Linked DNA regions of Bombyx mori. The protein of the gene in region 1 purifies or fractionates together with the protein of each later gene. This does not show direct contact. Links are inferred from orthologs where the notes say so. Each region holds a gene or a part of one and is shown on either strand. Other genes may lie near its edges.

Region 1 (4,353 bases):
ATTTTTTGTGAGTTCTTTAGTAATAACAAGTTGTGATATATCAATTCGATTGCATAATAAATCAGCTATAATTTGTTTAGCATAATTAATAGCTCCATCTGGGTCTCTGTCTATGAGCAACTTCTGTAAACAAGTGCTCATTACATTAGAAACAAGAGGACAATTGTCTCTTCGAACAGTTTCAATACCCTTGCAATCCATTTTGTCATATTTATCTGGTCTAGTAAAATAAAGGCCAGCATATCGTTTCTTATTAATGAGTAAGTATGGGTAGTATACTTTCTCAAATTCTAATTTTATAGGTTTTACAAACTTTGCTGTAACAAATTCAGCTGCTTCTTTTCCTAATTCCATACTCTCTTCAAGAGTTTTCACTCCAAACTTAACCATTACAGAATCAGTATCTCCATATATAACAACAGCATCTTCTTTATATCCATTAGCTTTAGTGTATTTCTTTTCTACTTCTGACTTAGTGAATTCAATCATAGTTCTGCCATAAGCAGTGACACTACCAGATATTTCTAAGCATGGTAATTTTCCTACTTGAGCACCTGTAAATCCATAAACAGAGTTTGCACTTATTTTCAAAGCCAGTTGTCTACCATCCAGAACTGACCTTTTAAATGGGTCTTTTTCATCCTTCAAGTCTGCCTTTGCTTTTTTTCTTGCTGCGAGTAGTGATTCTAGAATTTCTGGTAGTAGGCCCTTTCTGATGTGATTTTTTACAAACATGTTTTTTGAAGGTGTTATAGTAACATCATTGTCAGCAACATTAAATTGGTTTTGAGCATTAGGGGGAACTAAAGTTGTATAACATAAATTATGTGCCATCATGATGCTCGGGTACAAAGATGCAAAATCTAAGGTTGAAATAGGGTCGGCATAGTATCCTCTTTTGGGTTCAATAACTGTGGCTCCTTCATACTGATCATCAGAACCTTGGCTATGGTATACTGGCATTAAATATCCAGCTTCTTTTGCTTTGCGTAGTAGCTGACTGACAACTTTTATTTGTTGCCCTCTTGTTAGTAAACAAAGTAAAGGAACACCAGTAACTCTAGCCATTTCCATGTGATTAATGATACACATTAATTTGTTTAAAAGTTTTAGTGGGAGGTAAGCATCTTTAAGACAGTACATTGCCAATCTCCTTCTGGTTTGTTCACTTTCATTTTGTAAATCTGTGATTATACTGTGATGCACATCTTCTTTCTGCTCTTGAAGGAAATGGTAACTGACAGCATTCAGAGTATATGACCTTAATTTGTAATCACGAACTAATACCAACAATAAATCAAAAGGAACTCGTCCTTCAAAATTAATGGTTTTATTTTCTCTTCGACCCATCTGTTTCGATTGCAAGACTGTATCTTTTATAACAGATCTTACATTTTTTATTCGTCCCAGAAAATCAAATTTTTGCACATTTAAATGTTTAGCACGATTTATAAGATATGGCCAGTCGAAATTGCTAATATTATATCCAGTAATGATATCAGGATCTAATTTGCGAAAAAAATCAGACCACTTAGATAACATTTCAGACTCTGATTGAAAACTAAGTACTTGTGAACCTACAATAGGAGCACATGTATTCAATGTAAATACGTTTCTTAAATATGGTTCTGTTTCACCTTGTCTTATGACCATGGATGCAATTTGAATTACAGGGTCATGTTTAGCTTCTGGGAAAATACCTTTTCTACCAGCACATTCAATATCAAAACTTAATATTCTGAATGGTGCCACTTTTGACCACTCTCCTTCTGGTGGATGAAATATGAAAGCATTCCATGCCACATCCACTTCAATCTGACATCTAGATTCAGGCTTCACTTTTGAATCTATTGTTCTTAAAAACCACTTCCCAACAGGTAGTTCAATCCAACTGCATCCAACAATTGAAGTATCAACCATGAAACGTATATCAAAATCGATGTTTGTTTCATAAAATTGAGGATCCATCAATCCAAAAGATAGAGGTTGCCTTTCGATCAGTCTTTTGGCAGCAGCAATTAATTTTGGCAGTGCTACTGAAACTCTTGCAAATGTAATATTGGAATCACCTTTGTAATACATAATTGATTTGGCCTGTACTAAACGCACTTCAAGGACACATTCTTTAATATTATCTTTATTCCCTCTTAAATCTTCTAATATTGCTTTGTTAAGATTTGTTTTCATTTCGTTACAAGAAGATTCTGTAAAATTTACTGGTACAGTGACATAAAAATATGGTGTAAAACCATGTACATGACAGCAAACAGAGTTTCCCTCTGAAGTTATCCCGTACATCCTCATTATAGGTACGGGAGCCAATTGGGAGCCAGGCATGCCATTCATTGGTGAGCCATAATAATGATCAATGTCGAGTTGTTGAAATATTAATGTTTCTCGGTTTGGAGTCAGTATAGGCGGTGGAGGACGAGACCATTTCATATTCGAAGATTGATTTTCAGGTCCTTCACCTTCAAATATTTCTTGGCTGTCAATATCACCAGTGTCCATACAAGCCAGTTGTTCTTCGAAACTAAATGGAGTATCGTTTTCATCGTCATCGTCGCCAGATTTAAACCTCTTTGGAGGAGGACCTTTAGTTTTATTCCTGTCCATTTTGTCTGTGTACAATATTGTTTTAATTTAGCTTGCTTTTACGTCCTCGTAATTAACATAGATTAACTACCTAATTGTGCACTGAGATTAACGGGAGATAAATTTAATCTTTCACTTACTTGACATGGAGGTTCTATACCTTTAAATAATATGTAAGCACTACTTTTTAAAATTTAACGTAATTAAGTCAAGATTTTTCAATCAATCTGTAGGATTTAACGCGGGATTTTTTCAATTTAAGAACTGTCAAATATCAGTTCAGTGGTAGTTCTACTTTTTCAACTGGAAAGGCAAAGGTATTATACCATACTGCCTAATCTATACTAATATCTAAATCTACAGTGGTTTTTATGGATGTTCCGTTGTAACTACTAATCCATGCATCCGATTGACTTGAAACTTGGTATCCATGTAGAAAATATTTGTCTGTTATAGTTTTTTATAAAGGCTGCACATAACTTTTAGGACTCTTGCAAAAAGACCACTAAAAAGATGTAAAAAACCTCCATTTTACTAATATTATATTTCATCCCATATCATTTCATTTCAATTCATTTCATGCCTATTGATTAATGTTCCAAATTAATCAACTTCGTTTAATTTCACTTCATATTATCTTTTCTGATCTGATTTTGTACCTGATCTACGCACTAAAGATAGACATTTATTATTTTTAGGATCTCTATTGAAACTCTTTAATATCCCAGGTCTGTAAAATATAGTTGAGACTCAGTTTATGTAGGCGGCGACATTAACGTGGGTGATTTGTATACGCTCTAGTAAACACCTTAATACTAGATGGCTCTTTGGGCCCTCTACGACAGAATGAATAACATAGACTGAAATATCTTTAGAATTTATTATTTGTATTCGCAAATGCGGCGCAAGTTTGAATTGCAGAAGCCTACCCGTGTTTTAAAATTTCAGTATATTATTCATTATGTTTATAAAAACGTATGTTTATTATAATGGATACTAATCACTTCTGTTCGTGCTCGTTCGACCATTATCACTGAAAAAGAAAATCATTTAGAACATAGTGAAGATAATGCTAGGTCCTAAACATTAAACTATAATAATATATGTAACAGAATACAATTAAATGAAAAGTATTATTTTCTACTAATTAATTGCTTGGAAGTAGTTACATTACTTAAAAACATTTTACACCAGAAATTCAATAGATAAGGTCTGCGGGATATGTTGTAAGTACGGCGAACTCTTCGTCGCATTCAAAGAGAACGGTGACCGATACTTAGAACGCACTTTGAGAGGGCGGCACGACATAAAAAGCATCTTGTCGTGGCCGCTGGAAACTATATACCCGACCCTGTAGACCGAAAAAAAAACACGTCATTAGATCCTTCCGATCCATTAATGGTGCTTTTAGGTACACAAGCACCGGTCACCGTCATGGCCGAACCTGTCGCTTGCGACGAAGGGCTCGACGAGCGAATTAACCCATAAACACAGCCCACTGAGTTTCTCGCCGGATCTTCTCAGTGGATCGCGTTTCCGATCCGGTGGTAGATTCTGTGAAGCACTGCTCTTGCTAGGGTCATCACTCACTCCGGTTTGAGCCCCGTGAGCTCACCTACTAGTTAAGGTTACGCTGAAATAGCCTCTCAAGGCTATCAGATTAGGTAGGAAAAAACAAAAAAAAACTTAGAACGTTCTCAGAGAAGCACATGTGGTCAATAGACAGCTAAGGTGAGAGTATACTTATCTTTATGAAAC
Region 2 (4,433 bases), on another chromosome or scaffold:
GAGATATAAGTTCTAAGGTCTAAAGTATAGTTACAACGGCTGCCCCACCCTTCAAACCGAAACGCATTACTGCTTCACGGTAGAAATAGGCAGGGCGGTGGTACCCACCCTCGCGGACTCACAAGAGGTCCTACCACCAGTAAAAATAGTATACCAACATAGCTTCATTAGCAAATAACACTGTAAAATTTAACATCAAATTATAAATTTTTACTTGTAGTTGAGTAGAGACACACCAATATGAGTTTATGCTGGCCATTTTATACATACCACACAGGCATGCAGTGTGAATGAATTCAGTAAAGTTAATGACATAAAACAAGTGTAATAAGTTCTTAAAGAATCCTTCCATCCACAGAATTACAGGCTATACAGATATATAGCGTAACTGTAATAAATTCAAGGGTGCAAAGATTCGAAAACATAATATCAAAATGTATAAAAATAATGATGTTACAATCATCTACATTATCTGATTCAGATCACATTCGATAATCCTTAACAAAGCTGTCAAACATTTTTTTTTTGCGATTGAAAGATTACTGTTCTCTCGGAGGCTTTCCTAGTTTCACCAGGATAGGTAGGTAAGCAAGGGCTCAGCCAGGAGGGATCAAACTATATCTGTACATGAATATATTATGTCGGTATGTGCAATATTTTTTTTTGTTTAATATTTGGTTTACAACTGTTGGAAATTATTGGCATGAAATAATGAAATTAATGACTCGTAAGTATTAGCGATCCTAACTTGCTGTTCAAAGTCAGAACATCATCACTAGCAATAAGATTAAAATTTTGCTACCTACTTATACTTTTGTTGTTGTCATTTTTTAGTATAAAAGTGGAACTTGTAAAAATTTTCCTGATTGTTTTTAATGATAACAATATTACAAAAGCTCATCACTAGTTACTAAATTAAAAAAGGAAATTTTCAGTGTAACTGGGAAAATATTGCACTGAACTGATTTATCTTTCTTTTTTATATAAATACTGAGTATTTGATAGCAGAATTATCTCAACCTTGTCTTCCCTATTTCCATTTACCTAAACAAACTTTAGAAATTATAATGCCAACTGCGCTTATTGAAGGTTAACCTATTACATTCTGTAAGTATATAAATGTACGTAGAGAATTGGATCCTTATTAAAACAATTGAACTGGCATCCACTATATCTTGATGGTATAATTATTTTATTCCATGATTTGGTTACATAGGATGGTATTTAATTTGGTACTTTTTTAAAGAAGTTCATCATGGTTGGTTGTTTATGTTTTTGTGATGGAGAAGACTTTTTTTTTGATTGCTTTATTGGCACATTTTTCAGAGCAGTGGTTTCAACGGTGACTTGTTTTTTAATATCAACATTCTCTTTTGTATGCACTTCATCATCTGAACAACTCTCATAAATTTCTTCTTTTTTGGTTAACATAAATCCTTCTTCATCTGTATAAGTTTTATCTATGATTTTTCTCCTCTTTTTTGCATTAACAAGCCCAGGTGTTATGGTAACAATGGTAGCTGATGGAGTTGGTGGAATTTCATCTTCAGATTCACGTTCCAAAGTAATTTCATCTGCCAATGAATCTGATTTTTCACAATCACTATCACTATCAGAAACATGCAATACTCTTTTGCGTTTCTTTCCAAAAGAATTCCCCTGGTTAGTTTTTTTATTTCTTACTTTAACTTCAATATCTATTTTCTCCACTTTGATGTCTTTTTTTTGAGTTGATGCTTCATTTTTTTGTGCGATTATACTATTTACTGACTTCTTCTCTGTCAATTTAATTTCAGTTCCATTGGTTTTAGAGCTATCATCAATGTTTGTTTCTTCTCTATCAAATTTTTTTGTTATTTTTGTTTTGTTTTCAATATCTCCCTTATCTTTCTTGTTAATATCCATTTTAACATTTGGTGTTTTTGATAAAAATCCCATTATATTCCCATTAGACTTTCCATTACTTTTTTTATCAAGAGATTTATTGTTAGTAACAGAATTGTACTTTGGTGATGGAATTTCAGATTTTACAGGATCTGTTTTCTTATCATGATCTTTAATAGTTTTCACTTCATTCTGTGTATTGTGATTTTCTTCTTTAATACTGTTTTTCGAATCTTTCTTTATGGAGTTTTTCAGATTTTTCTCGGGTACTTCCTGGCTCTTAAATTTTAAAGTGCCTATTTCTTCATAAGATCTCTTTGAACAAATATTGTTTTTGACTGTACCTTTACATAACAAATAATCTTCGAAGGTGTTTATAGCTATAAATGCTGATTTATCTATACTTGTACAATGGCCGTAGCATACACTATAAATATGCTCAAAGAATATTGTACTGAATTTGTCTTTCACGCTTACTAATTCTTCTTCTAGTACAAGAATAGTTAGAAGTTTATTGTTTTTTAAGGATCCCGAGATAATGTAGCTGACTGAAAGACCAACATTCGGCTTGTTCTTTCTCAATTCATCAACAAATTCTCTCAAAAATATTTTCGCCTTATTTACATGAATGCACAATTCTTTACTAATGGATGTGTATGTCACTAAACGCCGCTCATCTAAGATTATGTTCTTTATAGAATTTAAGCTCTCTGACTTATTTTCATCCATTATAAATACAAATTCATTCAAACAGTAAACAGTTAATTTAAGTTACCTATCAATTCTTTTCTGAACTCTGAAGTAGACATGCGTAGTTCCGGAACTAAATAGTTCCTGGAACTATGTCCTCATATGGAACTATATCATTCAATCCGACTTGTCAAAATTAACATGTTCAGACAGTTCCATTTCCATTCCAAGTGTACTGTTATGCAGGAACTACGAACGCGTTGAACATGACGGACATGCGGACATGATTAGAGCATAGGTACCGCGCGGCGCGGAGGCGTGGCGCGGCGAGTCCACCCGAACGAGTCTCGAACCGACACGAGTCCACGTAAAGAGATAAGGCGACATATGGCACGAATACGAGAGAGTGAGATGGAGCGAGTGCATGAAACTGCGTGTGGAGCTCTTTCATATTACATTTTTATTAATATTGAAGTTATGCTCTACGACCTACGTGTTACAGTCGATAGTTGATTAAATTAAAATGTTTTGCTATGGATTTTGACCTTGACCATGCATCATTCCTACGAGCACTTAACCTTAAGTGTTTGTAGACCATTTCTTAGAAAATCATAATTCAAAATTCGAGAATTTTAAAACATTCACCACTTTCGCTATTCGGTATCTCGGTTATGGGAAAAAGGTTGTAAGGCTACAACGAGCTCAATTTACGTTGTATATCAGAATAACGTGGTATTTTAATTAACAACTGATAGGTTATAGTTTTCGGTGCATCGTACAATACCTACATTGAAAAATAATGAAAGTAGTAGAGTAGTTGAAATTATGACAAAGTAATTACAGTACATTAATAAATTATGCAACCAGCTGTAACAATGAACCTAAAACTAAAAACCTTACAAAATAATAATTACAATAATAATTGCCATAAGCGGCAATCTATTTTTATATAGTGCTTTTAAAAAATTGTTTTTTTAATACCTTTTTTGAAAAATATTGTGTAATTAATAATAACTTAATACGTGATTCACTACACTACAAACAGCTACTAGACTTAACATGTCCGCGGAACTAAACAGCTTCAAACAGCTACTAGACTTAATATGTCCGCGGAACTAAACAGCTACAAACTACAAACAGCTACTAGACTTAACATGTTCGTGAAACTAAACAGTTCCGCGAACATGTTTACTGGAACTAGTTCCGACACTCAAAAGAACGATGTCATGTTCAATCCAGTTCCGAACATGATTAGCGCACGTCTACTCTGAAGTTTTTTTTTTTTTAAGAGATTTTATGACCTGTTAACTAAGACCTTTAAGTCATGTCTTATTTTAATTTATATTCTTAATTTTATGAAAAATGATAATATGAAGTGAAATGAAATGAAGTTGATTAATATAAAACATGGTATGGCACGAAATGAAAAGATATAAGATGATATGAGATGAAATATAATCTCGGTAAAATGGTGTTCATTTACTGAGACGTTTTCAGTGGACTTTTTGGAGGATCCCGAGAAGCTACGTCTAGCGGCTTTGTTTCATTTTTCCACATTTGTGCCCTTTGACAGATATTAAACAGTTAATAAACCACCGTTATTACACATTTAAATCTGAAGAAACACTAAATAGACAAAATAAAACAAATCACACAACTCCACTCCTCGCCTTCCCGCCGAAAAGTTTTTTTTTTATTCCTTACATGGTTAGATGAGCTCACAGCTTACTTGGTATTAAGTGGTTACTGAAGCCCATAAATAGGTATCTATAACGTAAATGCGCCACCCACCTTGAGATATAAGTCTAAGTTCTCAAGTATAGTTATAGCGGCTGCCCAACCTTTCAAACCGAAACGCA

Evidence for each region.
Region 2: the proteins of DNA polymerase delta catalytic subunit (region 1) and DNA polymerase delta subunit 3 purify together in Homo sapiens (co-immunoprecipitation; 8 studies listed by BioGRID and IntAct, with this or other methods). This does not show direct contact. The link is inferred for Bombyx mori from reciprocal best matches to the Homo sapiens genes POLD1 and POLD3.

What each region holds. Positions count from the first base shown.
Region 1 is NC_085116.1:10,631,982-10,636,334, reverse strand, and holds the start of DNA polymerase delta catalytic subunit, read right to left. Parts: upstream 2,891-4,353; 5' UTR 2,743-2,890; coding exon 2,736-2,742; intron 2,671-2,735; exon of another isoform or gene 2,622-2,670; coding exon 1-2,621. UniProt on the Homo sapiens protein: As the catalytic component of the trimeric (Pol-delta3 complex) and tetrameric DNA polymerase delta complexes (Pol-delta4 complex), plays a crucial role in high fidelity genome replication, including in lagging strand synthesis, and repair.
Region 2 is NC_085112.1:7,020,158-7,024,590, forward strand, and holds the start of DNA polymerase delta subunit 3, read right to left. Parts: upstream 3,101-4,433; 5' UTR 2,614-3,100; coding exon 1,225-2,613; 3' UTR 1-1,224. UniProt on the Homo sapiens protein: Accessory component of both the DNA polymerase delta complex and the DNA polymerase zeta complex.